4 linked regions of the Notamacropus eugenii genome follow. The protein of the gene in region 1 purifies or fractionates together with the protein of each later gene. This does not show direct contact. Links are inferred from orthologs where the notes say so. Each region holds a gene or a part of one and is shown on either strand. Other genes may lie near its edges. The genes, in order: RB1, HDAC3, TFDP2 and E2F4.

What was found.
Region 2: the proteins of RB1 (region 1) and HDAC3 purify together in Homo sapiens (affinity purification with western blotting; 3 studies listed by BioGRID). This does not show direct contact. The link is inferred for Notamacropus eugenii from reciprocal best matches to the Homo sapiens genes RB1 and HDAC3.
Region 3: the proteins of RB1 (region 1) and TFDP2 purify together in Homo sapiens (affinity purification with mass spectrometry; 4 studies listed by BioGRID and IntAct, counting the BioPlex papers as one, with this or other methods). This does not show direct contact. The link is inferred for Notamacropus eugenii from reciprocal best matches to the Homo sapiens genes RB1 and TFDP2.
Region 4: the proteins of RB1 (region 1) and E2F4 purify together in Homo sapiens (affinity purification with western blotting; 10 studies listed by BioGRID and IntAct, with this or other methods). This does not show direct contact. The link is inferred for Notamacropus eugenii from reciprocal best matches to the Homo sapiens genes RB1 and E2F4.

What each region holds. Positions count from the first base shown.
Region 1 is NC_092876.1:108,201,953-108,210,163, reverse strand, and holds the start of RB1 (retinoblastoma-associated protein), read left to right. Parts: upstream 1-5,098; 5' UTR 5,099-5,350; coding exon 5,351-5,478; intron 5,479-8,211. UniProt on the Homo sapiens protein: Tumor suppressor that is a key regulator of the G1/S transition of the cell cycle. The hypophosphorylated form binds transcription regulators of the E2F family, preventing transcription of E2F-responsive genes.
Region 2 is NC_092872.1:369,000,914-369,008,781, forward strand, and holds the start of HDAC3 (histone deacetylase 3), read right to left. Parts: upstream 3,181-7,868; 5' UTR 3,149-3,180; coding exon 3,094-3,148; intron 2,841-3,093; coding exon 2,758-2,840; intron 1,444-2,757; exon of another isoform or gene 1,344-1,443; coding exon 1,201-1,343; intron 379-1,200; coding exon 297-378; intron 166-296; coding exon 109-165; intron 1-108. Other genes in the region: RELL2 (RELT-like protein 2), read left to right, coding at 4,761-5,019, 5,743-5,808, 5,892-5,958, 6,320-6,505, 6,835-7,210. UniProt on the Homo sapiens protein: Histone deacetylase that catalyzes the deacetylation of lysine residues on the N-terminal part of the core histones (H2A, H2B, H3 and H4), and some other non-histone substrates.
Region 3 is NC_092877.1:330,407,229-330,414,703, forward strand, and holds the start of TFDP2 (transcription factor Dp-2), read right to left. Parts: upstream 3,294-7,475; 5' UTR 3,132-3,293; exon of another isoform or gene 3,119-3,131; intron 3,013-3,118; exon of another isoform or gene 2,762-3,012; intron 1-2,761. UniProt on the Homo sapiens protein: Can stimulate E2F-dependent transcription.
Region 4 is NC_092872.1:695,050,192-695,058,068, forward strand, and holds the start of E2F4 (transcription factor E2F4), read left to right. Parts: upstream 1-4,820; 5' UTR 4,821-4,933; coding exon 4,934-5,074; intron 5,075-6,627; coding exon 6,628-6,737; intron 6,738-6,931; coding exon 6,932-7,093; intron 7,094-7,877. Other genes in the region: EXOC3L1 (exocyst complex component 3-like protein), read right to left, coding at 19-640, 1,254-1,473, 1,688-1,851, 2,443-2,488. UniProt on the Homo sapiens protein: Transcription activator that binds DNA cooperatively with DP proteins through the E2 recognition site, 5'-TTTC[CG]CGC-3' found in the promoter region of a number of genes whose products are involved in cell cycle regulation or in DNA replication.

The sequences.
Region 1 (8,211 bases):
TATTGATAGATATATGGTAATCTCAGGAAAGGTCTCCTGCACAGGCAGATTTTAGCTAAGATTTGAAGCAAGTCAGAGATACAGGTGCTATTATGATCTCCATTTTAGGAAACAAAGACTCAAAAAAGTTAAGTGACTTGCTCAGGGTCATATAGCTCATAAGCAACTGAGACTAGATAAGAATACAGGGCTTTCTAATCCAAAATACAATACAATATCCGCTGTGAGAATAATAATATTAAAACTTAAAGGGGAGGATCTGAACTAGAACTAAGATTTCCTGACTCCTAAGCCAGTGCTCATTCCAGTATAACATGTTATATGCACACTGGCTGAGCTGTGATCTATAAACTCCTATCATGTAGGATAAATTTCTAGTATACAGCCTAGCTTGTGATTTCTTTTGTGTGTAGAAACTTAGTTCACTGATACAGATCAGCAACTTATCTGCAACCTAAGTCTAAGGGAGTGGTTTGGGGGCATGGGAAGGCTTAGCATTTTCCCAGGAGTAATCCTTGTGGTTGTGTGTGGTTGTGGTGTTTGTCCTTCATTTTCAAAGAGTATCATGACATCAGGGAGATGACAACATGACTTGCAGCTGACTTTGATTTGAGGGAGGGCTGTGCAGTCACCAGCCTCACTTTCTCCTCGAGAACTATCTGCGTCCAATGGCCAGATATAAATCAGGATGACTGGAGATGGCCCAGGATGCAGTGGGAGACCTTAGCCTTTTTAAACTTTAGTAGGTGTCAGAAGTGGGACTTGAACAAGGAACAAAAAGCCAGTTTGACTAGATGTGTAGTGTGTGTGTGTGTGTGTGTGTGTGTGTGTGTGTGTGTGTGTGTGTAATGTTAATGAGAGTTAGATCTTCCCCCACCCATGAATGGGCATTACCTCACCCAAGGTGAGTACCTAAATAGACTTTGGCCTAAAGGGGCCAAGGTCTCCAGTGCACTCTGGGTCATCTCCAGTCATCCTGATGAATATCTGGTCACTGGATTCAGATGACTCTGGAGGAGAAGTGAGGCTGGTGACCTGCACAGCCCTCCCTCACTCAAAAAACAAAGTGAAGTGCAAGTCATGTCATCATTTCTCTGATGGCATGGTCTTCTTCGGCAAGGAAGGGCGAACACACAACTATGTATGTCTTGCTTATGGTCAGACAGTTACAAGCCCTGTCTGTTGGTCTTTATTTCTCTGCTTGTATTTGCTCTGTTGGTGAACACAATTAAAGTAGATTGTTGACCCCTCAAAAGTCACTTTCCTTTTAATAAAGCAGATCTAAAAATCTGTACTATCAGGCCATCCTGGATGTGTCAGGGTGCTTGCTGCTAGTGTGTGTGTGTGGTAATGGGAGTAATATATAATAAGTTAAGAAAGGTTGGTTGTAGACATATTGTAAAACATCTCTAAATACCATTATCCATTATCCTTTATTTACTATTCAGTACCAGGCCACACTATGATTAAATTTCAGGTCTGGATCTTCTCCTCTCCTCAGGAAGTCTAGCAACTTTCATTCTGTCTAAGAATGAATTGCTCAAGGAATTAAAATTCTATAGATGATAAAGCATCTATATAGGACAGAGGATCTTGGCAAATAGTAGAAAAAAGCTGTTGACTTCCTTAAGAGAGGAGTTTTACCCTCATCAAACGGCCTTCAGAATAAAGACAACATTCGTAATCCTTCAAAAATGACCAGTAAAGTGTTCCTTAGATTTAAGGTGGTATTTCTGACAAAGCTGGGTACTCAGAACATGGCTCCTACATCCTCTCAGGACTCTAAGGGTAGCCTTGAGGCACTGGAGGGTTCTTTTCCCAGGTGCTACAGCTTACAAGCCCCAGCTAGCTTGTTTCCCTGCCATGGTTGTTAGATGATCAAAATATGTAACCCTCAGGGACTCTGCTGATATCCTAACAAGACCTGCTTAGTGTTGCCGATGAGAAGTCATGAGTAAAATGAAAAAGAGAACTTGCCTTGAAAGTCCTAGGTTATAGTCTCAGTTCTGATGCCACTTCTATTATCATATGGGAATTTTAACCTCTGCATCATTTAACCTGTGATCTTATTTCCTTATTTCTATAATAAGGAAAATACTTAGACTGTGTATCTCACAGGATAGATGTGAAACAATTGCTTTATAAACCTTAACACTATAGCTACAGGATTATCTCAATTTATGCATGTTGCACATACTCTCGAGCTAATATCCCAATTCACACTCACACTGACAAGGTTGGGTGCTCAGAACATGACTACTGCATTTAAAGCTCTAAAAGGGGTTGGGGAGGGAAGGGTTGGTTTTCATAATGCTGTAGCTAACAAGCCTCTACTGGAGTGTTTCCCAGCCATTATTGTCCATTGATATGAATTAATCAGCCAGACTTAATTAGCTTTTAGAATGGGGTATTTTACATAGTACCTTCAAATATCTATGACATACTCTTCCACAATTATAAAGAGAGGGGGAAGTGGGTTAAAGCTTAGAGTACCTGTGATGGAATAACTCACTGCTCCTGGAAATCCTTCCACTAGAGTCTGCATGATGATACCCTTAGGTATCAGATATCTTTTTCTGCTGGGACTTTTGATGAGCCATGAGACCACATCCAATCTGTCTTGGGCTTGAGATACAGAAATTGCCATCACCTGATCCAGGAATGGTGCTAGAATGCCAATGGGAAGTCCTTTGGATCTCTGGAGTTCTTAAGATTCTCCTCCAGCCAAGAAGGAATGAGGAGAGAAGACCAAGATTAACACCCAGGCTCAGGGTTCTGTTCCTCTCCTCTTTTCCTTTCATTCCTACTTTTTCCATTTATGATACCAAGAGTTATTTGTTGGTGACAATCTCAATAAGATTAAGTAGAACTTTTTCCTTTTATTCAGTGGTCAAATGGGACATATTAAGGGGCAGGAGGTAGGGAGAGTAGAAGGGAAAGGCAAGATGAAGCAGGTTAATAAAAGAAAAAGTCTGACAGTTCATGCGTCAGTTCCTGGAGGGTAGAAGGCAGAAAGACGAAGAGCAGTGGCATGATTAGATAACCCCCATGAACTCACTGAATTTTCAAGTGGGAAGAGATCTCAAAAATTCATCTGGCCCTACCCAAGCAGTAAACAGTGGTTAAATGACTTGTCAAAGGTCACAGTTAGAATTCTGGTTCCACTCTCAATCCACTGCTCTTTTCACTACACCACACTGCCTCTCCTAAACCATTCCATGGTTCCCTGCTTATTCCAGGAAAAAGTCCAAAGTCTTCAACTTTGGGACTTTGGCATTTATGGACTATTTCTGCCAGGTCTTGCCCTATTCCCTTAAATCACACAGGTACTCCCACTTCAAGCATTTGTCCATGGTATTCTAAGGCTCCTTCCAGATCTAAATCTGTGCTTCCCACAAAGGATTCCTCTTCCCCTTTCTTCTCTAACTAACCATATATCCTACCTCTTAGGACCATCTAAAATCCTACTTCTTTCATAAGGAAACCCCTGGTGACAGTTCCCTTCTTTGACCTCTTACAATAGTTAGTACATGTTCTAATTCATTCAGGTACTTAAGCACATTATAAGGAAATGAAATTATTAAGTTGTTTAATGTTATCGAATCATAGATTTAGAGCAGGAAGAGACAGACATCAACTGATCCAACTCTCTCATTTTACCAAGAAAGAAAGAGAGAGGAAAGGAGGGAGGAAGGAAAGAAGGAAAAAAGAAAAGAAAAAAGGAAGTTTTCATCCAGACAAGTTATGGGGCTTGCTCTAGATCAACAGGTGGGTTACGTAGCAAAGTCAGGATTTGTACAAACTACCAATCTTGAAAGCTCCACGTCTGAAAATACTATCTCCTGGACTCCCTTGGCATGCTTTTAAGTACTGCACACATTCAGCTAAAATAAAGTGAGTGTTGCATGCTGAAAGATCATGGCTGGGAGGGACATAAGAAAGCCATTCAGCTCCAAACCCTTCATTTTACAGATAAGGAAACTGAGCTGAGAGACATTCATTGATCTGCCTAAGACCTCAGGAGCAGTAAGCATCAGAAGTGGTTATCTGAACTCAAGACCTCTGAGTTCAGAGCCTGTGATCTTTCTACTGAACCACTCTACTATCAAATCAAGTCCTAATAATGATAGTTAACATCTGTATACACTTACTATGTACTGGGAGGTGTGCTAAGCACTTCACAATTAATAAGGATGATAGTAATAGCTAACATATATATGCGTGTGTCTCTCTCTCTACATAGACACATATACACACGTATAGATAGATAGATAGTGTTTACCATATGCCAGACAGGAGGCAATTAGGTGGCTCGATGGATTGAGCAGAGGGCCTGGAGTCAGAAAGAAGTGAGTTCAAATTTGTCCTCATACACCTAAGAATTGTGTGACCCCGGGCAAGTCCCGTAACCTGTTTTTGTTTTTTATTTTCAGTTTTCTCCTCTATAAAATGAGCTGGAAGAAGGAATGGCAAAGCACTCCAGTGTTTTTGCCAAGAAGACCCCCAATGGGGCCACGGACAGTTAGCTGCCCACGACTCAACAACAACGATATATCCGGCACTGGGGTAAGGGTAAACGATAACCCTGACATAGCGCTCGCTGAGTGCCAGGCCCTGGGGAAGAGCTGAGCAATGATCCCCTGGGATGCTCACGGCCACCTTGGGAGGCAGCTCGTGGATTATCCCTGTTTGACAGTACAGGGGCGATGACTCGCCCAGGGTCACACTCCCTACGTCTGAGGCTGGAGGGGCTCCTTTACGCATGCGGGCTCCTGCGTCCACAGCACGGGGCAGTCAAGGAGCCGCGTGCTCGGGAGCACGACGGCGCTGCAGGTAACCAGAGGGCAGGCCCAAGCCGGGCCTGCTCAGGGGAAGAGGCCGGCGCTGGTTGCCGGGGCTCCGGGCCTCTCCGTCCCGATAGGTACCCCACCCCCAGCACGGGGCCGGGCCCCACGACACGCTCGTGGCCTCGCCGCGGCCGGCACCCGCAGCCCCACCCTTCTCTCGCCGCGGACCTTCTCCCTTCTGCCTCCCAGGCTCGGCGGGCGGGCCCGGGAACTCGGTGGGACTTAGCGCGCAGGAGCGGAAGTGACGTTTTCCCGCGGTTGAGCGCGGAGCTTTTGGTGCCGGGCTAGGGTTAGAGAGGTGGGTGGAGACAGGGCTCTCCCGGTTGTTTGGTTGTTTTCGGAGAACGTTTAAAGTTTTCTAACGGGAGCCGAGAGAGGACGAAGGGCGTCTGGGGCGGCGCGTTCACTTGGGAAGAGCGCGTGCGCGCGTGTTCCCCTTTGCCCCTCACCTCCCAACCCCCCAGTCGCTCCTGCCAGTCAGTCGGTCGGTCAGTCAGTCAGTCATGCCACCCAAAGCCCCTCGGAAACCGGCTGTTCTGACCCCGGAGCCGCCACCGCCGCCGCCTTCCCCTCCCCCTCGCCAGGAGGAGCCGGAGCCGGATAGCGGCCCAGAGGACCTGCCGCTCGTCAGGTGAGAGAGCCGGGGCCGGAGCCTCTCCGGGGAGCGGGGCACCCGGCAGACGCCGCGGCGTGACCAGGGAGGGGCCGGCTGCCCGTCGAGGCGGCCTGCGGGCCCGAGCCCGGAGCGGGGCACGAGCCCCCGGCGGCCCCTGGGCCGGCTGACAGCTGCGAACGCGGGGCGCCGGGCCGCGGGGACGGGGCTTCCCGGCCGCAGCCTTGGCCCCAGGTTGACAGGTGGGTGGGGCGGGCCGGGGTCCCGGGGAGAAGGAGTGACAGGTGGCTTCTTTCTCTCTCGGGTGGTGGAGGGTGGGGGTGGTGACTGTGCTTAGTCGGGGAGAGAGCATTGTTTCCTCTCCAGAGATGCCCACGGATCCTGTTCTGTTCTGTTCCGTGCGGTGGAGTTCGGAGATTGTTGGGGTCCGAGCGCACCCTGATGAGATACATTAAGAAACCCCACGACATCCCCCTCCCCCACCCCGCCCCCTCCACTCCTAAATGGTGTGTTGAATGCGGGTGCGCATATCATACTTTGTCACTTCCTGTGTAATAAAGCTAATAAAAAGTATTGTTTTTACCATCTTGCCAGAGCTTAGTGTCGGGGTGGTGGTGGTGGGGGACAGTTACTGTGGGAACTGCTGAGAATGAGGGTCCACCCTTCTGTAGTGTTACCAGACTAATGAGAAGTCTAGTGAGATCTGAGCCCCGGAGTATGGCGATGCTGTAAGGTGTGGAGGTGGGAAATGAGAAGTTATTTGTAGTGATTTTGTAAGAAAATTACTCATTAGTAGCATTTTTTTTCTTGGTCCATGTTTTAAACCCTTGTGAAACACTTTCAGTGATGTAATTTACAGCACAAGCGCTTAAAACGTAAAACTGACAAGGGTTGTTCTATGAATTTCGTCTTTATTTTTATTTTTTCCCCAAATTTAGATGAAACTCCTTGCATGTAGATCTGCATCAGCGTGTCAAAGTTGATTGATTTTAAATTTTTGGTGGGTAGAGACATTGATGTCTGATATCGAGTATTGTTTTGTAAGATGTTCAGCCATGACCAATCACATGGAATTGTTTACTTAATGAAATCTTTATATGAGCAACCCTAGTGGATACAGTAGAATATTACAGAGTGGTATGTCATGTGTATGTTACAACTTGTTGGTTGTTTTTCTTTTTTGTAGCCATTCTTTATGTTTGATATTGAAAAACATATATTTAGTATGTTTACTCTCCAGTCAGTCAGCCAGCCAGTAAACATTCATTAAGACCAAGCATGCTATGTGTTGGGAATACCAACAAAGCAAAAGGCAATCCCTGACCTTAAGGACCTCACCATCCAATTGGGGAGACTGCATGCAAACAACTAAGGTACAACAAGACCTATACAGGACAGATTGGAGATCCTGGACAGAAGGAAGGCGCTAGCATTAAGGGGAATTGGAAAATGCTTTTTTGCATGAGGTGGGATTTTAGTTGGGATTTGAAGGAAGCCAAGATTTGTTTCTACTTTGTGGTTATGGATCTATTGAAGGGCAATGAATGCTAATATATACAATTTAAAAAAAAGTCAACTTGATGTTATTGTAAGGTCTTACCATGAAACTGGGCATATAGACAGAGTGGACAGAGAGTGCTGGGCCTGAAGTCAGACTCATCTTCCTGAGTTCAAATCTGGCCTCAGACATTTATTAGCTGTGTTACCCTGGGCAAGTCACTTAACCTTGTTTGCCTCAGTTTCCTTATCTGTAAAATCAGTTGAAGAAGGAAATGGCAAACCACTCCACAGTTTTTGCCAAGAGCAACACAAATGGGGCAACTAAACAACAACAGATATATTATTTGGTTTGTGTTTTTAATAGGCTCATAGAAGACATTTTGAGTGCTTTAAATGTACAATTAAAATATATAAGTAGAAAGAATACAAGAGGTCAGATTTCAGATGGTGATGTAGTAGAAAATGTCGTTCTTTATTCAGCTAGTCAAGTTCTGGTGGTTTTCCTAACATTAGCAATTCCTATTTGTCATGACAGACAATATACAGAACAAAGGTATTATAGAAACTGCTGAGAAAACTGGAAGGCAGTTAGTGAAAAAATTGAATTTTTGACAAACAACTTGTATCATGTATCAAAATGAAGTCAAGATGAACATGTGACCTGAATATAAAAGATCAGGTCATAATAAAAATGAATAAAGTGAGATCACTTATTTTTCAGAAGGAGAATACTTAACCAACAAGGTATTGAGGAAATTAGAGAAATTAAAATAGATGATTTCAGTTACATGAAATTGAAAAGCTTTTGCAGAAAACAAAAAAATCAGTGTAACTAAAACAAGATGGGAAATTTGTCTTTTGGGAAAAAAATCATTGCATCCGATGTGTCTTAGAATAGTCTTATTTTCAAGATATACACAGGCAGACTCACACACACACACAACAGAATCATTCTACAGTGGATAAGTTGTCAAAGGATATAAATCAAAGATTCTCAAAAGAGGTGCAGATTATTAACAACTATAGAAAATTGCTCTAAATTAATAACAATAAAAGAAATCACACAATATTTTGAGTATTATTTTTGAGGCACTCTGTTAAGTGCTGAAGATACAAAAACAAAAGTGAAACACAAATGTAATTTGAAACAACTATGAACTTTCATGTTACACCCAGAAAATTCTAAGGTGAAAATAGTTGATGTTAGATGGGATTTGGGAAGGCATGCACATAATACACTATTGCTGGAGC
Region 2 (7,868 bases), on another chromosome or scaffold:
GGAGAGTGACTTTGGGGGAAGAAGCACTTCACCCCTACATCCCTCACCATATTTTGGCCTCCACCCTCAGCAGCCCATGCCCACCATACCCTTAGTTCCCTCCATCACCTCAAACTTCTTAGCATGGTGCAGTCCTCCAGCCCAGTTAATGGCAATATCACAGATCTAAAGGACAAACATCCAAATCATAGCCCTCCCCATACCTAAGGCACAGGGAACATGAGGATGGGGCAAAAGCTCAGTGGTTGTGGATACCATAGCAGTGGATGAATGGGGGTGGACAAGGATATGCTTACCTTGTTGTTCAATTGTGTAGCTCCCTGCAGGGAAGCACCTGTGTAACGGGAACAGAACTCAAAGAGGCCTGGGAACACAGGACTGTAAGACAGAGGTCATGGCTGGATCACTCAGAGCCTTGGCTCCTTTCTCAAGAAACTGAACACCCTCTCAGGCAATACACCTAATCCAATTTAGGCCCTCTTTCTTTTACCTTCCATCCTATTCATTCGTCTTTTTATTAAAAAAAAAAAAGTATGTGTGTATATATGTATATATATGTATATACACACACAGAGAATGTTATTTATTTATTGCACACCTAATATTTGCCCAACACTATTCTAGGCACTGTGGGGAAAGACACACATAAAGAAAAATGAAGAACAATTTAAGAGATATCATAACATAGCATATAATTAGTGTCAAGTCAATAGTACAGCCAAAAATGCTATAGGAAATAAGAGGAAGGAGAAATAATGAGGCTGCAGCCACCAGAAGGCTTCATGCAGGATTTGGAACTTGAGCTAAACAACTGGTAGAATTTAAATAGGTAGAAGGACATGGGCAAAGCAGAATATGCATGGCATATTGAGGAAAAAAGAAAATCAGTTGGCAGTTCGTGTAGGGGAGGAGCAAAAGACAAAGTTGGAGAGTCAGTTTAAAAGAAAGACCAGGAATAACCCTCAAGGCCAAGCTAAAAAGTTTGGGAGTTTGTACTACTTACCCTATATGGCAGGTCTCCCCAACTTGAATATAAATTCCTCAAGTTCAAAACTGTACTTCTGTGTGTCCCCAATTACATTTGACACAGTACCTTATGTCTTTTTCTCCCCATAACTTCCCTCCTTCTTCTCTACAATTAATTCCCCACCCCAATGACCAACACTGATCCACATCAAGGGTCCCTTGACCTTCCCTCACCAATCATCCCCCACATTGAAGGCATTGAGACTCTTAGTAAAGCCCTGCATGTTGGTGGGGCTGACCCGCTGCAGGAAGTCAATATAATCCTCTGAGTGGAAGCGGCACATATCATGCTGAGAGGCTTGGTATGGCTTGAAGACCTTGGAATAAAGAAAACATGTTGAACTTTGGCAGGATTAGTTCCAAATTAGGAGGCTTTGACTGCTTCAGTCCAACCTCAGAGGTTCCAACGTACTCCCACCCAAGTACCCACACACACACACACACATACAGACACACTCCCTCTTACATGGAGGTCTCCCCATGGAAAAAAAAGATCAATCTGAGGCTAAAGCAAAGATGCTGAATTCAGTCATTGACTATTTTGCTATATTTATCCCCACCCACATTCTCATGTTTCCCATGTCACCCTTTCCTCGGTCCCCCACTCCTTCCTGTCCTTCTCCATAGTCCTGCTGTCCGATCACCTCTGGATTCAAATGTGACATTGTACATGAAAATATTTTGAAAAGCATCAATCAATATACAAATATAGTACATTATTATTGTATTCTCTTTGTTATGATTCCCCAAATTAATTGGAAGCTTTCTGAAATTGGAGATTATGTCTTTTCCAATAGTTAGAACACTCTCTAAAGGTAAATGCTTTCTCTTTTATATCAAAATACAGAGCTCTACAAATACTGGAAAAACAAATTCAGTATATATATATCAAAAGACTCCACAGGGTAGCCAATCTATTTTAGTAACCCTATTCTAAGCAAACCCATCTATGGATTTTATATTTAACAGTAATCCTAAAAGTGACCATCAACGGCATGCATATGCATACCATTCTGAGTCGGAACAGTCTCAGTTCTCATCTTCCATGACCTAACCATGTCAAAGAAATATGCCTTGGCCAGTAGCCACAGAGACAAGGTTCTGTGTGTGCTGTGGTAGATTTTGGGGTGTATCTTTTTTGGAGGGGGGGAACAGAGAGGTGCCAAGTATATGAGTAGCCAACCCAAGCCCCTTAACTCTCAACTTGGAGGGAGTCCTCCTAAGGCCATACAAACCAAAACAGAAAGACGGAAGGGCTGAGTTAACTCTTGTACAGGTGCATACTCAAAGTATCCTCTCATTCTGTTGGGATACTAAAGTTCTGGCATCTTCCTATGATAATAAAAGGATACTGTGGGACAGCATGAGAGGTGAGGTGATATTGTAAAAAAATATATATATATATGTTGGATTTGGAGTCAGAAGATCTTGGTTCAAATCACAGGCTTTCTACATAGGTTACCTGTTTAACTTCCCCTTTCTTGGCCTCAGTTTCCCATCTATAAAATGAAGGGCGTTTCACTAGAGAGATCTCTAACATCCCTTCCAATCATTATTAACAACCTTTCTAACCCCTATTAACCTATCTATGTATGACTCAGGGGATGAAGGGGTCTCCCTGTCCCCATTTCCTCTAAGCCTGCACCCCAAGTGCAAGTGCACACTCCCCTCCCGCACTGCACCCCCTCTCCAATCGTGGGGTGGTGGAGAGGATGGAGGAGAAACACTCACAATCATCTTCTTGTAGAGTCCATAGTGCAGCACCAGGCTGTGGGTGAGGGCCAGACGATGAGGTTTCATGGGGTGACCGGCCCCTGGAGAAAGGGGTGGTAAAGAAGGGTCTCCGAGTCACCACCCCAAAGGGCCCAACCAGGATCCTCCCTCCCCAGGGTCCTAGGGAACTCGCTCCACCCCACCCCCACCTCCCAATCCTCCACTTGGTCCGGGTTGTGGGGGGTGGGGGGACAGAGGTGAGGGAGCCTGCTCGCGCCCGTGCCCCCTACTCCCCCGCCCTCTTCCTCCCCCATTCCCCACCTCGCTGCCCGGGGTTCTCCTCCCCATTCTCACCATAGTGGAAGTTCCCCACATCCGGGTCATAGAAATAGGCCACCGTCTTGGCCATAGTACCAGGGGGACCAGGCCCCGCGCCTCCGCCCTCCAGCCCCGCCTCCAGGCCCGTGCGTTCTGCGTCATCGCGCGACGCCACGCCCCTTGCGGAATCCGAGGTCGCTGGGGTCTCCAAGGCTCAAGGGAGGGGGAAATCAAGGCCCCGCCCCGGCCCAGAGGTGCCACGCCCCCTGACTCCGGTAGCTCCGCCCCCTCAAGGCTGGCTGCTTCTGCTGGCTGGGGTGACTGAACACCGCGGGGAGGGTGGGGCCGAGCCCCAGAGGGAGGGTGTTCCCGGGGTATCCGCGGAACTTGAAGTGCACAATCGGTCCCCGAGAAGCTGAGCATCTCAGAGTTCCCCATTTTCCAAGCCTTTAATTCCACAGAGGTTTATTAATCGTTCAGTCCGTGGGCATCCCATCCCCCCTCCTATTCACCCTGAGAAGTAGGGGGTTCACATCCCGCCGCCGCGTTTCTACCTGGGCACTGGGGATGAGAGGCTGTCCTAGGGTGCAGGGAGCTGTCTGTATCCTGCCCGAAGGGCAACTGACACCTTCCCACCTGCCGGGCTCCCAGATTCCCGGGTTGTACCCAAGAACCAGAACAAGGGGGCATATCACCCAGCGGTGGCCAAGGTGCCTGAGAGACCCACGCCCCGAGTGGGACACACTGACACGGAGACCTAGCCGTGTCAGACACTGTGGTGTCACGCACGCACTCCGTCCCACACACCTGCCGCTCCGCCCCCTTTATTCCCGTGCCCGCGCAGGGAGCACAGCCGGAGAGAGAGCAGCCGGGACTAGGAGGTGGCTGCGGTAGAGGCCCCCCCATCCCCTTCCCATCCCCAACCCTGAAAGTCCAGAGGACGCCTGCACCCAATTCGATTTCCGCTTTCCCTCCTTCCCTATCCTCCGCCTTCCTGTACCCCTACTCCCCTACCCCCAGCCCGCCGCGGCACCAGCAGCCGCAGCCCGGAGCCGGAGCTGGAGCGGGTGAGGTGGCCTGGGGGGTGGGGAGAAGGGGGGAGGAGGATGCTCTCGGGAAGGGCTCCCAGGGCAAGCTGAGAGGTACTAGGACGCTGCCGGAGCCAAAGCCGAACATACATACCGCATCCCCAGGGGCCGTGCAGAGACCACAAGGTCAGCTGGGCCAGGGGAATTGAGGGGGGGGGGGGTGCATTCTGGAGAGGGAGGGGAGTCCAGAATGTCTCTAGGAGCCAGGAGTTGGAGAGCGGTGGGACAAACTGAGGGGTATTGAAGGAAAGGAGCGTTTCAGGGGACCTGACCTGGGGTTGTGGAGGAAGTGAGGGGCCAGCGCTGACTCAGACTATGCCCAGGACCGCATCATAGAGCTCCGTCCAGTCTTCAGTGACAGTGTCCTTGGGAGGAATGGGGATGGGGAGAAAGTAGGGTTTGTTTATGCAGGGAGAAGGAAGGCACGTAATATCAAAGGGAAGAGGGATGAAGGTTGGATTAGGAGTATGGAAAACAACTTGCAACCCCTATTGACCAGGTGCCCCGGGGCCTGGCTGACTAGCACCCAATCCCTGGACAGCTCCTGGGCTGAGAAGGCAAGGGGTTCTGGATTTACTGGAGGGTCCTGGGGGGACTCCCGGTAGGGGTCCAAGCATGGAATTCACCGCCCTCCCCCTGACTCCATCCCTCTTTGAGGCCCTGACCCCGGCTCGGCCCGCCCCCCAGGGCCGCATGTCGGAATTGCAACCAGGACCAGAGCCCCAGCATGGGCTGTACATGCTGTTCCTTCTTGTGTTGGTCTTCTTTCTCATGGGCCTCGTGGGGTTCATGATCTGCCATGTACTCAAGAAGAAGGGTTATCGCTGTCGGACATCGAGAGGCTCAGAGCCCGAGGATGCCCAGCTCCAGCCACGTAAGTGTGGGAAAAGAGGGGGAGCCCCATCACCAGGGACCAGCCGCCTTCATTTTCTTCCTTGTACGTCCTTCCATCACACACTTGTATGTGCCACACACACCTGCACCTTTCACTAACACTCCTGAGTGCACCTTATCCAGGTCTCTTCTTCCTCTCTCCTACCCCTGGTGGGAAGATGACTCCTCCAGAGCGACTTCCATCCCCCTTTGCTCCCCTGTTATCCATAACTCACAGTTCATGTTTCATTAACCTGTCAGGGAGTTTTTGCAGCTTAGTTTGGGGGATAGAGTGCAGTGAGTTCAGTAACTAAAAGGCAAAAATCACAGTGACTGAGGTCTCGTGAAGTATTTTGGGGACCTGCTGGTTCATTACTCCTGAAATTATACAGTAGGCTGAAACAGAACCCCTGGGAAAGTGAAAAGGAGGCAGGAGGAAGAGAACGGCCTCCTTGTGAAACTTTGGCAATCTCCTACCACCTCAGTTCTCTGTGACTCGATATTACCATCTATAAAATGAAGGGATTGTACTCTATGACCTCTAACGTCCTTTATGGCTTTGGAGTTGTAATCCTATGGTGGTCACTGATCTTGAACCACTAGAACTGCCAGGAAGCCAAATAAGGTGGTCATGAAACTCAAAGGAACAATCCAAAGGCCAGTGACTTTGCGTTGGCCCCAGTCTCTCTTTCCCTGAAGTTGACCCCTTTCCTCCCCTCCACAGCGGATGATGAGGATGTGAATGAGGACACAGTGGAAAGGATTGTCCAATGCATCATCCAAAATGAAGGCAAGTGCTCACTGGCATCTGCTGTTCAGTCCCCTGCTCCATTCCTACATCCATGACATTCTCTTGCCACTTGTCTTTTACAGCCAATGCTGAGGCCTTGAAAGAGATGCTTGGGGACAGTGAAGGTGAGGCAACAGTACAGCTGTCCAGGTGAGCTGGAAGTGTGGAGAATTCCCCCAAATACTGATCAGGACAGCACTTTCTCCTTAACAACTAGCCCCTGTTAAAGTCACAACTTAATTAGTTGGACACTATGATTTGAGGAGCACCAGGCTATCCAAGTATCACTGTCTCAATTCCATCATTCATTCTTTAGGCTAGTTATTGACTTCACAATGTAGCCTCATTGGATTTAAATAGCCTTGAGTCACAAAATGTTGTCACTAGTTCCTTGGTGTGAATCAGAGTTTGGAGAAAGAATAGGGCAGATAGAAAGATGGGGGGTGGGGGGGGGAGTGTCGAATGGATGCACAGAGGGCACAGTGGAAAGGATTTTCCTTTATTCTTTCAGTCTTGATGGTGCTCCAAGCCTCCAGGATGGGACTCCATCTCATCACCATACAGTTCACCTGGGCTCATCAGCCCCTTGTATCCACTGCAGCCGAAACAAGAGGCCACCTCTCGTCCGACAGGGCCGATCCAAAGAGGGCAAGGGCCGTACTAGGCCAGGAGAGACCACAGTATTCTCTGTGGGCAGGTGTGGATAGAGCACCCAAAGAAGAGGGGGGCAGCATTCAGGGCCTCCCATTCAGGTGGTAAATCTTTCTAAGACAGTTGGCCTGACCGGAAGATTTATCCAGGCTTCCTTACTTAGTATTACTCCCCTCCTATTCTGGAGGGTAGGGGAAGAGGAGGGTTTCCAGCCAGGGAGTACTCTTGGGGTTGATTCATCTATGTGCTGAGGATTCCTTTGCTTTCAGAAGCTATCAAATGTCAGTAAATGGGAGTGCTGGGGGCAGTGTTGGGAGAAAGGGTTCAGAGAACCTCTAGCAATCCTGAGTCACAGCATATTCCCTTCCCTTCCAGGTTCCGGGTGACACATATTGAGAAGAGACTTGGGCTTCATGAACATCGAGATGGCTCACCCATCGATAGAAGTTGGGGCTTCAGTGGTGGGCAGGACCCAGGGGGTGGCCAGAGTTCTGGGAAAGGGCAGATTGGGACTGGAACTCCTGCCACAGAGAGACTTCCAGCATCAGGGCCAGAGGTTGGCATCCTATCTAGTTCCCCTGTACAGAATGGGGGCCTCAGAGAAAGGAGCCTTGTCCCCTTTCTGACTGAGAAGCCCTCTGGAGCCATGGAAGACTCAGAGGCAGCAGCCAGAGAGAGGGACACAAGGCCAGTGTTGACCAGAAGGGAAACTAATGGACAGCCAGCCAAACTGGATGCCTCAGATCTCCAGGTAGGCAACAATCAGATGTGTGTATAGAGAAGTCAGGGTGGGCAGAGTCACTGGATAAAGCCACAGTCCCTGCTTAGTAGGTCCAGTTTTCTGACTAGATGAAGTTAGAGAGTTTATGGTAGCCCTTTCCTTCTTTATCTCAGGTGTTACCGCCAGGTGGCTCAAGATGAGTGTGAGGTGAGTCTGGCCCTCCCAAAATGTGTTTGTTTCCAGGGAAGGGCGGGCACCCCAAGGTAAAAAACAAAAAACTTCAGCCTATGAAGCTGATTTTAAGGAGGGAGGGGCTAAGGGCACCACTGCTCCAAGGGGCATTGAGAAGGGAAGGGCAACATGAGGTAGAGTGGAGGGGGAGGGGTGGAGAAAGGCTAGAGGAGGCAGGAAGACTATCCCCTTCCCTCTCCTTTTCCCCAAGCTTTATCTTCACTCCCTACTGCAAGGATGAGTAGCTGACTGGGCAGGGAAGAGGGACAAGCATGAAGCCCTCTCCTCACTCTGAGACAGCATTGCCCTCCAGGAAAACAAAACAACCCCTCTTCCTGGGGGCTATATTATCTCAGTCTGGGAATGAAGAGAGTGGTCCCCAGCCTCTCAATCCCTTCCCTCCACTTCATCTCCAGCCTAAGACAGGTCAAAGGTGAGGAGAAGTTACCCCTACATT
Region 3 (7,475 bases), on another chromosome or scaffold:
TTCAAAAAATATAGTATCAAAAATGTGTTAAATAGAGGTGATAATGTTTTAAAGAAATTGAAAGTAATATTTGTTGATGTGGATGATTCGGCCATAAACAACTGCATGAATAATCTAGAACTGATCTACATTCTTCAAATCATGCTTCTCAACTTAAAAAAGTTACATACATATAGACTCAAAAAATGAATGAACTTGTCACTTTTCAAAAATGTCAAACATATTCTAAGATCTTAGTATTTAAAATGACACTTAAAGGATTTAAAGTAATACCCCAAGTATTTAAGATGATACCCGCATCAGAAATTTGCTTGGAACCCACACTTCCAAAACTTAATATTAATTCTTACTGCTTTTGCTGCTGACAAAATTGAACTGATATGATCAGCTAGTGTTCTACAAAACCAATACCAACCAAGGACATGTATCTTTATGAGGGAAAAAAATTTCAAATGCAAGTTATAAAACTCGTATTAATGAAAGAACCTTTTGAATTTTCAAGGGTACCAAATGTAAATGCTTTTTTCTAATCTAAATTACATCACTATCATCAGTCCTATTTATTATAGTTTTGGTAATAAGAAACCACTTTCCATTTATTAAGGCAGCAGAGATTTTTATCTGTGTATCTCACTTCTTGATTGTTTTTAAGTTCATATTTGAGGGCTTTAAGAATTCTGGCTGCAAAGGAAAAATCTACAGGCGTCCAGAAAGCCCTATTAAAAAATAGATACAAATTAAATGGCTACAATAACATAATACTACCTGCATGATACTGACTAAGCAATTATAACCTATTTGGGCCAACTTCCTCATCTGTAAAATGAGGGGCTCGATCTAGATAATTTCCTTCTAACAAATTTGTTTGCTCCTAACATCAATAGAGAAAATTGAAGAAGAATTTACTGAGTCTGTGAGACTTACGGGATTTGTTTTAAAATAGAAACAGTAGTCCTAAATCAGAGAAAAGGTTGCTACCTAAGTAAAGACATTAAGACCAAAATCTGGTTCCAGGCATAAGATCATGTAATACATAGCAAAAACTTAATTGTTTTGGCTGCAAAAGAATCTACAAAGCCTAAAGTTTCTTAGGCAAATGTCAAAACACTTTAGAAATGTCCACTATTTCATAATTATGAAATACAAGATACACATCCACAAAAATGTGTACTATACATGTCTCTTTTAAGATAACAGTTGTCTTAAAAACAGCACACCAACTTCGAAGAGAATCTAGGACAAATAACAGAAACAATCTGCATTTTGCTTTCCAACATAAGGTTTTGCTTTGCTATTTGGGAACATCACTGATTCTGATCTTATAGTATTTTAACACTGATAAATAACACTAAGTTCCTTTTCCATGGGAGTGGGAAGGTAAACTAGATGATCTCAAAGGTCCCTTCAAGTTATAAATTCTACAATTAATTCTACTATTTTCTTTAGCTGACACAGGATTTAGATACAACACATAACAGTAGAAAGTACACTGGATTTGGAATCAAAGACTCTAGATTCAAATCCCAGCTTTGTCATTTTCTCCCTATGTGACCTTGGGCAATTCACTGGTCCTAAGTTTTCTTATCTGTATAACGAGGGAGCTGGAATGGATGACCTCTAAGGTTCTTTCCACCTTTAAAATTATGACATGATCTATTATTTCCAGATTAGAGGCAGCCTGGTAAGAAGAAAAGAATACAAGGTTTGAAATCAGAAGAGTGAAGATCCTAGCAGCAATTTAAGCCATGCGACCTTGAGCAAGCAGGTTGTTTCATCTTTCAAGGCAACAGTTTCCTCATCTGTAAAAGGGAATGGATCTGAAGATCATCCTTCTTCTCTAAACCTCTATCAGACTCTAACTGAGAGACCAGCAAAAATGATAAATGGTACAGGAAATGATTTGAAAAGAGATCAGATTATGACTATAAGACTAAAGTTTATAGAAGGAGAAAAAACCCCAGAAACTAAGCTATTAACTTTTTCAGGGAGAGGAAGAACACAGGATTGAAGTACTTGGAAGGTTCAGTGATATTTTGGGAGACCTCAAAGACCCTGAAAAAAGGAAAGGGAATTCAAGTTTACATATTGATAACATCTGATTCATTTTCCATGGGAAAGGGGGTAGACAAGATACATAACCTTTGAGGTCCCTCCCAGCTCTGAATTCTCTGATAAAGCTCCGTGGAAAAGATGGTCCAATCTATAGATCTCTAAAACAGTTACCACTGGGGAATTACAGTTGTTGAGAAAAAGGTGAACGCAGGAATTAAATTTAAAAGCATAGGAAAGGATAGGGGGGAACAAAGCGAAAGCTTCAGTTTGGATAAATGCCTCCGACTGGTGGTCAGCACGAGAAATGGGACGCTCCACGATTCTCGGGTGGGGAAGTGCCTCTGGAGGAGCTACAAGATCTTGAGCTGGGGTCCTTCACCCCAGAAGGCATCGAAAAGCCAGCAAAGTCGCTCTCCTGCCGGGGGTGCCCCCCACAAATGGGAGGGTGTCCCGGTCCAGCTCTCGGCCCCCGCGTAAGCACCAACACGTAGGTTCCTGCGTCCCGCTCCGGGGACGGAAGGGACAGCGCGCGTGGAAATAAAAGAGGGGAAGCCTCTCGAGAGGGGCACGTGGGGGGTTCCCCAGTCATGAGGGAGGGGTGAGAGCCAGGGGCTCACTTCCTCGGACCCCGCCCCACCCACCCACGGCAACCCCACAGCGCTGCCGCGACCACGCGAGGACCGAGCGCTGGGGGGAAGGGGGACGTTACCTGCCGGCGTAGCCGTGGAGAAGGCGGCCTGAGGGGCTCGCGTCCGGCCCACGACGCGAAGGGGGCGAGGGAGCTACCCCGAGCCGCTGCCGCAGCAGCTCCTCGGCTGGACTGGGGCCGCCGGCGGTCTGCGGACTCATTCCCGGGGGTCCGGGGGCGAAGGCGCCGGGGCTCGAGAGCCCGCGAGACCGGCCGGCCGTGCGCACGCAGCCTCCAGCAGCCTCGTGCCCGCCCGCGCGCGCGTGCGCCCCGCCACCCGTGCGCGGCCCTGCTCCCCCTCCCACCCCGGGCTCTCGTCGCCCCCCTTCGCCGAGCGTCGGGAACAGCTGCCGCGCCCCAAGCCCGGCTCAGGCCCACCTGCTCCTCTCACCTCGCGGGCGGTCGGCCCCGGGGCCCGGATCAACTCTCCTCTCTCTTCCCCCGCGCGAGCTTTGGCGGGGGCTGGGTACTGCGCGCTCCGGTTGGACACCGGGCCGCGTGACGTCAGGCGCTGCTGCCCGCCGATTGGTCTGGCTGGCGATGCGTGCGGGGTGTAAACAAACCCCGCCCCCTGGCTTCCCAATGAGGGCGGGGAAAGGTGGGGTGGGCAGGGGGGCGGGGCCGAACGTCCCGCCCGAGCCCAAGCCACGAGGTGACAGCGGGAGGGGGAGGAGCCCGTGGCAGGGGTGGGGAGGGGTGGGGAAGGAGGGAAAAAGCGCTCTGGGGGTGGGGCTTGCATCAAACCCCGCCCATGGGGAGTGGCCGAAAGGAGCGTGGCCTGTGGCTAGCCCGGCCTCCAGATTTTCTGCAGGAAATTCCAGCCCCTTCCAAGGAAAGGGCCGGAGGCGCAACAGATGGCTCCGGGCCTGGAGTCGGAAAGACTAGTTCAAATCCCGCACATGTAACCCTTGAGTGCTTGCAAAGTGCCTTACAAATAACATCTCCTGTGATCCTCGCAGCCATCCAGGGAAGGATGCTCTTATTATGAATTATTATTCCTATTGACAGATGGAGAAACTGAGGCAGGCTTGGACATCCTGAGGCCGGGGTCTATCCTCTGCTGAAACCCCCAGCGGCCAGAAAGCACGTGTTGAAAGTCTGCTTACGTGCTAAGTGCTGGGGATGCACAGAAAGGTGGAAACCATGGTCCTGCCCTCAGTGAGCTCACTTTCTGATGGCAGGGTGAGTCCGCAAGGAATTATACATCCAAGACCTAGTTCTTCCTTCCCACCAAACTTCCCTATCTGAGCAGGTAAAACTTTCATTCCCAAAGAGGACCATGACATCAGGAAGATGTTGCCATGACTTGTAAGTGAATTGGATTTAAGAGATAGATCAGAATAGGCTAGAGATGGCCCAGCATACAATAGGAGACCTCCACCTTTCTTAACTTCTCTCAAATCATACCAATCCATTCACACCCCTGGGAGCCTGGAATGAGGCACCTACATAAAACCAATCCAAATAAGGAACCCCAGAGACAGGATTCAATTGTTGTTGAAAGGAAGTAAGTAAATCAGACTGGGTGAAGCAGTGATGAATGGACTTTGGATTTTTCCTCATACCAAGAAAGGGCATGAGGACAACATCAGGAGTAACTGAATCAGATTTTTAAGACCTCAGAAGCCAGGCAGACCAAGTTCCCACCGATGAATTCCCTCTATATAACAGTCCCCATGGGAGGTCCTTTAGTCCCCAGGAATGGATAACTCAGACACTGCAAGAGACTGGCCATTCCATTTTCATCAGCTCTAAGCATAACAAACGTGTTCCTTCTGTTGAGCTGAAATCAACCTCTCTGTAAATTCCTAGGTCTACCCTCCAGGGCAAGTTAATTCCTGGTTCTCAACCTTTCAGATGTTAGAAAACTGATCACATCTATCATATTTTCTTTTCTTCAGATTAAACACCACCTTCAAACAAACCTTCAGTCTGTTCTTTGTTTTTGTTTTAGTAAGATTTGCTTTTGAGTTTTTTGAGTTTGCCTCACTATCCTGGTTACCCTCTCGACTCTAGTTTATCAATATGTCTCTTAAAACATAGGTCTCAGAGCTAAGCATTCTTTCAGAAGAGAAATAAACAGGTAAAGTCAAGGGAGTTGAAAGCTAAATAATGGCAAATTAATGTCACCTTGAATAATTTTTAAATACACAAATCCTAAAGCAATCATTGCTTCATTAACAAAAACTAGAACATTTATAAGCCAATTCAATACAAGTATTTTTAATGTCCCTATGTGAAAGACACTATGCAAAATGATGGAGATGCAGAATATATACCCCTGGACCTCCACCCCACCTCCAGGACACACACTCTACTGAGAGAGTACTGTTGTTTCCTCTACTGGGAGAATACAACATGTACACAAGTAATTCAAGGAGGAAGAGACCCCTAATCACTGGATGAGGATAGGCTCACTTCACAGAGAAGATGGCAAGAAAATAAGGCTTCTGAGGGGTATGGATAAGGAGTGAACTGCAAATATGAGTGGCGGCTTGTGTGGATACATGAAGGCAGATGATAGAATGTTGCATCTGAAGAGCAGCTAATAGGCTAGTTCAGCTGGATCCTATATTACATAAAACAAGAAGGAGAATAATGTGAAATGAGGCTGTAGGACTGGAACCAAATTGTTGAGAACCTCAAATGCCAGGCAGAGGAGTTTGCATTCTGTACCAAAGGTCATAGGGAGCTACTGAAAGGTTTTGAGCAAAGGAATGACATGGCCATACTGGTACCTTTGGAAGATTATTTTGGAATCCTTGTGGAGAGTGGATTGAAGATGGGAGACTGGAAGTACAGAAACTAATTAGGAGGCTAACAATTTAACAATTGTGTAGGTGAAGTATGACAAAAGTTTGAACAAGACTATTGATACTTTGGAGAAAAAAAGAATAGAAGAGATATGGAAGTCAGATCCACAGGATTTGATGAGGATTTAGAAATGAGGGCTGATAACTGAGATTATAACCCAGATAATTGGGAGTCCAATGGTGTCTTCAAATGAAAAGGGGAAATGAGTGTGGGAGAAGAGAAGGCAGGCTTAGAGAAGATAATGATTACTGTTTAAGATTGTGCCTCAATTTCATTCAAAATCTGCTAAAGCCAATATTCTTTTGAGCAAAATAACTTGTAAAAAAAACTAACTTAAATATCTTTCATATAACTTACTCAGACACAATGTAAAATAAAAGGAACAGTGGAATGTAACAAAATTTCCATCTACTGTGTATCAGTGATGTGATCTGCCTATGAATTTCCATGACCTAAGCAGAGTAAACCATAAAAACCTGTAGTTGCTAGTTCCACAGAAAGTCAGTTCCTTCCAGGATAAAGGACAACTTACTAATGTAGTTTTTAAAAAAAAGACCCTGAAAACCTTTCAGGAAAAAGTAACTTGTGGAAGTTTTTCTGGGGGGAGGGGAAAGGAAAATTAATATAACATTTAAAAATTCCTAAATAGGTACCTAGTGCCAATTTTGGTCCAGTGATGGTAAAATTAGCTTCACAATTAATGAAAAAGGATTTTTTCCCTTTTGCCTTAATAGCCATTGCTCTCTTTTCCTCCTCATTGCTTTAATCAGTAATTATATAATGGGACAAGAAAAGAGAGATTTTTTTATGTCATTATCATCACTCAGATTTACACAGTACAATATGGCTTACTTATTACATTCTTCACAACCTGTTGAGGCAAGTGGTACAAATATTTTCATTTGCAGATGAGGAATGAGGCTGAGAGGAAATGATTTACTCAAATTCACATGGCCACTAATAAAAATTTATGCTTTCTCAGACCAAAATCCGTACTTTGTCCATTCCACCATGATTCTAGAGATGAGAACTTCAGTGTTTATTTTATATTATCCATGCCTAACCAAATCTACTTAAAATTAATCAGATAGGTATCAATAATGTTATTGTTGTTATTCAGTCATTTTCAGTTGTATCCAACTCTCTGTGACCCCATTTGGAGTTTTTCTTGGCAAAGATACTGGAGTGGTTTGCCATTTCCTTCCCCAGCTCATTTCACAAATGAAGAAACTAAGACAAATAGGGTGAAGTGACTTGCCCAGGGTCACATAGCCACATGTCTGAGGCCAGATTTGAACTCAGGAAGATGAATCAGCCTGACTCCAGGCCTGATGCTCTATGAATCATGGTACCATCTAGCTACATCAATAATGCCTACACTTCATAAAGTGTACTACCTATAAAGTATAAAATATACTTTAATAATATATGCTTAATAAAGTATACATGTATACTAATATATTCTACTAGTCAGCTCATATGTGTCCTGGCCCAGGGCTTTTTTATGAGAACAAAAATGTTTCTTCACTTCCTTTTTGTTTTCTAAGTCCCAGACCCACATTACCAACTAATTACTGGACATTTCAAACAGTGTATTCCATGGACATCTCAAACTTAACATATTGCAAGCAGAATTCTGCTGGGATTCCCCTCCACAGTTCACTAACTCTCACCATCATTGATGGATGACTAAATCAGCACTATCTACATGAAATGTTTCCTGATCCCCACAGGTGCTCAGGCACTCCCTCACAAAACTACCTTATACTTCAAGTATTCAGTGTGTTATGTATATGCTTAGAAACCACCATGTTATGTATTTATTTAGAAACAGCCATGTCATCTCTCTCATTAGAATTCAAGTGCTTTCAGAGTAGGAAAAGTTCAAGTGTGCCTTTCTATTCCCAGCTCTTAGCACAGT
Region 4 (7,877 bases), on another chromosome or scaffold:
CCTTGGCCTGGCACTGACCCTGGGTAAATATGCAGGGCCCAGTGCAACAGTGTGAAGATGTCCTGGGTGCCCAGGTCCTCATGGTCCAGAAGCTGCTGCAGGTGCTGGCAGAGGCCCTGGTGCAAGGTGTGGGCCCACAGCTTCACCACTCTGTAATCTCCAGGGCAGCAGGGAGCCACCAGGGCCTCTGCCAGGGCCAGTTCAGCAGGCAGAGCTTCTTGAAGAGTAGCCAGGTGTCCTGCCAGACCTGGAGGGCCAGGGGCTGGTCCCTCAAAGTAGGCTTCCTCAAGGGCCTTCCGAAGGGCCCCAAGGCAGCACTGGCGCCAGGCTCGGGGGCGCCCAGGGGATGATGACTGGAGCTGAATATCCCTTTCCTCCTCAAACTCAGCCACTCGAACTGCAGCTACTAGCAGGGCTGGATCATCTCGTGCCAGCTGCCGAGCTGAACCCACCACCTTCCCCATGGCTAGGCCCAGCTCCTCCCCGAGAGGTGTCAAACCTTCAAAGAGGGATAGCTCAGGTCTCCCAAGTGGGTCTAACACCTCATCCCTTAACTGCTCCAGCTGCCGTAGGACCCCATAGGCCTCCAGGAATCGATTGCCTTTGATCAGGGCCTGGGTTCTGGCCACTGCCTCAGGTACTGAGGAGAGAAGTAGGAAGCAGGAGGTTAGGAAGCAGTCCTGAAATGGGCTGGACATCAGGACTTCTTCAGACCTGTCCTGAACTAGCTATGTGACTTCAGGATATTTACGTCACTTCGTTTCTCTGCGCCTCAGTTTTCTTACTGGTGAAATTCAGTCTTGCAAACATTTATTAAACCCCCATGTGAAAATGAAAATAACATAAAATGAAATTTAAAATAATAAAAAAAACAAGGAAACAAAACCAAACCTCAAAGAACCTTAGGGTTCTTCAGACTTTGTAGCTGATTTACATGATCACTTTGTGGATCAGTCATACATTAGAAAAGTACAGACTTCTTTTCCCCAAGCTCCCTCATTGGTTCAGTCTGGAAAACTGACCGACTGGGTAAGGGGTAAGTGGCCTGACCAAGGTTGGTGCTCAAGGGCAACATGGGCCAGTAGAAAGAACACTGGATTTGAGGTCAGAAGATTTGGGTTTGAATCCTAGCTGCACTATCACTTAAGTTCTCTGGGTCTCCATTTTCTTTTCTGCATTGAATCAGGTGAGCTCGAAGGTGAGCCTCTTCGTCCCTACCCCTGATGAAACCCAGGAACATTATGGGACCTCACCTGCCAAGAGTTGGGGCAGTAGGAGTGTCACCGCCTGCAGCTGTCTATGCTGATTGGCCAGCTCCCGGAGAGGCCCCAGGGTGTGGGCAACTTCAGCCTGTTTCGAGAGTGCCTCCTGGGCCCCAACCAGGGCCTCCCCAGCCTCCTGGACCTCTTTCAGTGCCAGGCCTAGTTGCTGAAGGCCTGTCTGCACACTCTCCAAGTAAGACTGTACAGTTGACTGTGGGGAGAGAGCTTGGAGAGGTCAGTGGTAGATGGCACCCTGCAATGGAGGGGGCAGAGAAGGTCCCTCTGAGCATGATCTGATATGGGTGGGGCACGGTCGTTTGACAGAATTAGGGAAGGGAGAGCCTAGGACAGAATGGGAATGACTGGGACTAGGGATGGATGATGACTTTTAGGGACCCCAAATTCAAGCTTCTCCCTGGCCCCACCTTGATTCGGGATTCGATGGAGCACATTCTCTGGGCTTCTCGGCTTCGGTATTGGTCCAGCCTGGTCAGCTGCTTGGGACTGTAGAAGACGCCTGAGGCCCATTTCAGGGCTGCCCCTCTGGCCAACCTTTCAGCCTTCTCTAGTTCTGGCCACTCAGAGTCTGCTTAGGTGGATAGGGGTGGGGTGGGGGGAGGCAGGAAGAGGCTTCAGCCACAGCTGTTTCCCATCCCTTGTCCCTAACAGGAAGTCACTGGATCTGGGGCCCTGACCTGGTCAGTCTGCCTCTTCTAACACTCCAAGTTTGCCCAAATGCTGAGGTGGGGGTCGGGTTTAGTGGTACTTTATAAATGCACTAAATGCCATATTGTTATGGACTGCAATGTGGTCCATATCAAAGTATCACAGTATTTAGGGCTGAAAAGTCATTAAGTTCAACCCCTCATTTTACAGATGAGAAACTGAGGCCCCAAGAGGTCATGTAAGTTGCTTGTCTAAGATCACACAGCTAGTAAATGGCATGGCCTACAAAAACCTAGGTTCTCCATCCTCTTTCCACTCTGCTTTGCTACCTCTATTGGGTGGTAAGTGGCTGATTGCCCATGCCTGGGAAAACATCCCCACTACACACACTCTCTTCCCCACCAAGGCTGTCTCCAGATGTTCAGAACTTCTCTCAGAGGTCATCCATCCATTCCTCCACCCATCCATCCACTCATTCATCCCAGAGTGACCCCCAGGGGGATCGGCTCATTACCTTGGGGGGCTCCAAATTCCTGCTCCTCCTCCGTATCCATGCCCATGGCTTAGTAAAGGAAGGGTGTGTGGGGTGCTAGGCCTGATATTGGAATTGAGCCTAGCTGTTGGGGGGTTGGGAGATGGTTCAAGCTTGATTATGGAAGCTTGGCTCAGCTGAGCTTAAAAGCCAAAGCGTATTCTTCTCCAGGCAGGCTCCTCTGGGGCAGCACGGTTCCTGCCCAGCCTACTCAGGATATGGGAGGGAGGAGTGTGTGTTGGGGGGATGGGGGTGGAGGAGGGACTGAAGGTGAAGGGGTGGGCACTGGAGCTTGTGGGAAATGCCCTGTGTATGATCCCTAATGTCTAGATAGACAAGAGAGGTGGGAAGAGCGCTGAGTACCAGCCCTAGCCTGGGTAACCGCATCATAGGGCAAGGGCTGAGGGTATTGCTTGTGTATACTACAGCTACACCCTACAGCCTATGCCCCCTCCAGGGAAGTGGCAGCATCCTAGCCCCTTAGCGCCCTCCAGTGTTCATCAAAGTCTGGCTTTCTGACCGCCCCCCCCCCAACTCTATGCCCTAGGGCACCCACCTCTTCCCTTCCCAATGGATCCCAGTAGATTTATGCTTTCCATTCTCCACCTTCTTTACTTCCTTATGTTTTCCTCCTGGGGCTTAGTGGGAGTCAGGGGTATAGGAAATAGCCAGGAACTAGAAGAGAAAGGGAGGAGAGGGGACAGATAACACTTCTGTCTCCATCCCTCTCTGGTATGTGAATCCTTTCTCTCCCTGCTTGTGGTTTCCATTGCAAAAGATCTTAGGGATGATTATGCCTCTGCCCCTGTTGGGGAGAGATCTCAGAGAAGGCAGGGTGGAGTCATCCAGCAGCAGGTGGTGGGTATCATGACAGGTAAGTTTGGATAAATTTAGTGGAACAGAACATGAGAAGTGGCCTGTTATGGGCATGGGTCAGACTGTATAGATGCCTCAGCCAGGGCTAAGGGGAGTGCCTCTTTACCCAGCTGCAGAGATGCCCCAAGAACCCTTTTCTACCTCAGCATAGAAGGAGGATAGCTGATCTTTACCTCCATATGGAGTGCCAGTATATTCTTCTCTCCAGCAGGATGTGGGTCAACCAGCATTTATTAAGTACTTAACTCTGTGCCAAGCATGGTGCTAATCACTTGAGAAACAAAGAAAGGGGAAAAAAAAAATCAGGTCCCTGCCCTCAGGTACCTTACTTTCTAATGCATATTCCTAAATGTATATACAAGACATGTGCCATATAAGTGGAAGGGTGTGAATCTTGACTGGCGGGAGCATGGCATCATGGCCAGCCCCCAGCAAGCAGACTTGGGCAGCAGGACCTGTGAATATGGTGAGAGGTCTGGGACCGCAGAATTGGAATGTGGACTGAGAGGAGGGTAGCCAGAGAGATCCCAGGGACTAGGGCAGGGGTCAACAAACATTTCATTAAGGATATCCACCGTGGCCCTCAGAGATGATGGCTGTGTGTGTTTGTCCTTTGTTACCAAAGAAGACCATGCCATCATGACTTGCACTTGACTTTGTTTTGAGTGAGGGAGGGCTGTGCAGGTTACCAGCCATAAGACTGGAGGTGACCCAGGATGAGGCAATGGGGGTGAAGTGACTTGCCCAAGGTCACACAGCCAGTGAGTGTCAAATGTTGGAGTTGAGATTGGAACTCAGGTCCTCCTGACTCCTGCACTGGTGCTCTACCCACTGCACCACCTAGCTGCCCCGGGGGGATGGTGTAGGAGAGAGGTGGTTGTGGGAGCCACAGGTAAGTGGAAACTTTCTAGGAGCTGGAAAAAAGCATGACACCAGCTAGCACTTACATGGTGAGTTGCAAAGCACTTTACAAACCATATTTAATTTTCTCACAACAACCTTGGGAGGCAGATGCTATTGTTATAATATCCATTTTACACCTTAGGAAACTGAGGCAGGCCGAGGTAAAGCGACTCGTGTAGGGTTACAAGGGTGGTAAGGGACGGAGGCTGCGTTTGAACTCAGGTCTTGGTGGCACGGTGCTGGAAACAGTAGGTGCTTAATCAGTGCTGCTCGACTGACTGACAGAGCCCCTGCTGCCTCCAGTCTACTGCATCATTTAACTGCCTTCTGCCCACCCCGCCCGTGACTCAGGCGGTCTGACCCGATGCCCAGGAGTTTCTCGCCAGATCTGGTAGTTGACGAGTCTGGGTTGTTTTCGCCCTCCGTGAGGGCTGGGCTTTTTCCTACGACCCCTGGAATTCTGCGACTCTCCGGGAGAAAGGGAATCGCACACGGTCCCTGGTGGCGCCAGACGCTAGGAGGCCTACCGGCAGGGGCGCACGCGCGCACGCGCAGGCCTAGAGCTGGGCTCAAACGGAAGTGCAGAGCGGAAGTGTTGAGGGGGCTGCCGGCCGGGCACTGGCGAGCGGAAGCGGAAGTGGCGGCGGCAGGCGGCGGGCGCCGGCCTGGCCTGGGCTTAGGGAGGCAGGCTGCCATGGCGGAGTCCGGGCCGCAGGCGCCCCCGCCGCCGCCTCCCGGGACCCCGAGCCGGCACGAGAAGAGCCTGGGGCTGCTCACGACCAAGTTTGTGTCGCTGCTGCAGGAGGCCAAGGACGGAGTCCTCGACCTGAAACTGGTGCGGACCCGGCCCGGCTCCGAAGTGGGGGACCCTGGGGAGAAGCGAGGGCCGGGGCCGGACACGGGGGAGAAGCGAGGGCCGGAGCTGCACAAGGGGGAGAAGCGAGGGCCGGGGCCGGACACAGGGGAGAAGCGAGGGCCGGGGCCGGACACGGGGGAGAAGCGAGGGCCGGGGCCGGACACGGGGGAGAAGCGAGGGCCGGGGATGCACCAGGGGGAGAAGCGAGGGCCGGGGCCGGACACGGGGGAGAAGCGAGGGCCGGGGATGCACCAGGGGGAGAAGCGAGGGCCGGGGCCGGACACGGGGGAGAAGCGAGGGCCGGGGATGCACCAGGGGGAGAAGCGAGGGCCGGAGCTGCACAAGGGGGAGAAGCGAGGGCCGGGGCCGGACACGGGGGAGAAGCGAGGGCCGGGGATGCACCAGGGGGAGAAGCGAGGGCCGGAGCTGCACAAGGGGGAGAAGCGAGGGCCGGGGCCGGACACGGGGGAGAAGCGAGGGCCGGGGATGCACCAGGGGGAGAAGCGAGGGCCGGAGCTGCACAAGGGGGAGAAGCGAGGGCCGGGGCCGGACACGGGGGAGAAGCGAGGGCCGGGGATGCACCAGGGGGAGAAGCGAGGGCCGGAGCTGCACAAGGGGGAGAAGCGAGGGCCGGGGCCGGACACGGGGGAGAAGCGAGGGCCGGGGATGCACCAGGGGGGAGAAGCGAGGGCCGGGGATGCACAGCGGGTACCCAGGTGAGCGGCTCCCAGAGTCATTGGAAGCAAGTTCTCCTCGTCGCCACCTCTCATCTTTCAAGTCTCAGCCAAAATCCCACCTTGCACAAAAAGCTTTTCCCGATCCACCTTAATGCCTTCCCTCCGCTCATCGTCTCCAGTTTGTCAAGTTCGTAGCTTGTTCCTATGTAGTGATTTGCGTGTCCTTTGAGGGCAGGGACTGTTTTTTGCTTTTTCTTAGTACAGGGCTTCATAAATCCTTGCTAAGAGAGGAGGGAGGTCCAAGAGACGAGGGTCTTGGGGGAATCCTGAAAGGTGGAAATTGGACCAACAGCCTAGGAACAGCTGGAGGAAGAGATGAGGGAGTCAGATCAGAGCATGAATGGAGGAGATCTGAACAAGACAAGGGAGAACTGAAGACTGGGGGGGGGGGGGGAGCAATGACCAGCATGGAGAGAGGAGGAACCCCTGCAAAGTGCAAAAGGCAGGTGAAGGAGGGAGGTCTGGGCGAGACCATCTGCGGAGATGCCCTTCTTTTGCTGGGTCTCTAGAAGAGAAGCAAGCTGGAACAAACCTGGATTTTGGAGCACGGGGCAAGAGAACTGTACCATGCCTGGCAGGGGAAGGTGTTTCAGGCCCATAGGAGAGAGTAGGGCAAACCACAGGTACAGAGAGACATCAGAAGTAAGGAGGAGTTTGGAGACCAAAGTTAACTTCCTAAGATGTCATGTGTGGCTCTGGGCTGCACTGAGCCTGCCCTGCTGAAGTCTGTTGGAGTTGGTGTTGGCTTAAACCGTGGGGACAAATTGAAGCATCTCTCTTTTCTTCCTCCAATAGGCAGCAGATACCTTGGCTGTTCGGCAGAAGCGGAGAATTTATGACATCACGAATGTCCTGGAAGGAATTGGGCTGATTGAAAAGAAGTCTAAGAACAGTATCCAGTGGAAGTGAGTACTGGGGAAGGCAGGGCAGGAGAGATTCTCATGAGAGACTGAGGAGCCTCATTGAGTGAGACAGGTGGGAGGAAGAGGGTTCCTTCATGGAGTGTTGGACCCTGGATGGATGTCTACGCTAGGGGCAGGTACCCTGGGGAGGTAGGTACCATCTCACTCCCCTCTCCCCACTTGGGGACTGTACATAGGGGTGTGGGACCTGGCTGTAACACAAGGGAAATAGCAGACAAGCTCATCGAATTGAAGGCTGAAATTGAGGAGCTTCAACAGCGGGAGCAGGAGCTGGACCAGCACAAGGTGTGGGTGCAGCAGAGCATCCGGAATGTCACTGAAGATGTGCAGAACAACTGATATCCTTCCAGGACCTCCCTCTTCCTCTTTTCCTTCTGTCTCCTCTTCCCCACATTCATTATCCTGGCTCAGATTTAATGGCTGCTCTTCAGGGTTTACAGAGCACTTTTCTTAAAACAGTCCTGTGTGGTTGGTAGTATAAGAATCATCTACATTTAACAAAGGGGAAAATTCTGAAGCTCAAGAGTTGAGCCCCTTTGGTCAAAGCAGTAAACTGTAAGTGTCCAAAGTGTGATTCCCAGCTAGATCAATGGTGTCAGAGCTGCTAGGCCCACAGATTAGGAAGACAACCATCTAGGCTGGGCAAGGCAAGGCAAGAGCTGGTTCTAGTCGTGGAGAGATACAGTCAGGCCGCACCCTGAAGGGTTTGGGGTGTTGGTGAAGAAAGATAGAAGGCAGCAGAATAGTTTTTAAAAAAAGAACGTAAACTATAGTAATAATGCTAATACTAATGGATCCTGTTTTCTGGGGTATAAATACAGATGTAAAATATTTTTCCTACAATTCGGTGAGGAAGGTAGTAAAAAAGCATTATCTCTATTTTACTCATTAAGAAACTGAGCTCCAGAGCAGAGAATTGACTTAAAAGTTTTAGCTGGGATTAAAAACGAGGGCTCCTGACTCCAGGACCATGTGCTTTCTACCACATCATGCGTTAGGAATCCCTCAGTCATGGCTGGCACTAGCTCTCAAGTGCTGGTCCCAGAACCAGTCCCTTTCCTGTCATTCCCTTGGAGTGTGTTGCATTCCCTGTGCCATTGGTCTAATTTGACAGCCTACCTT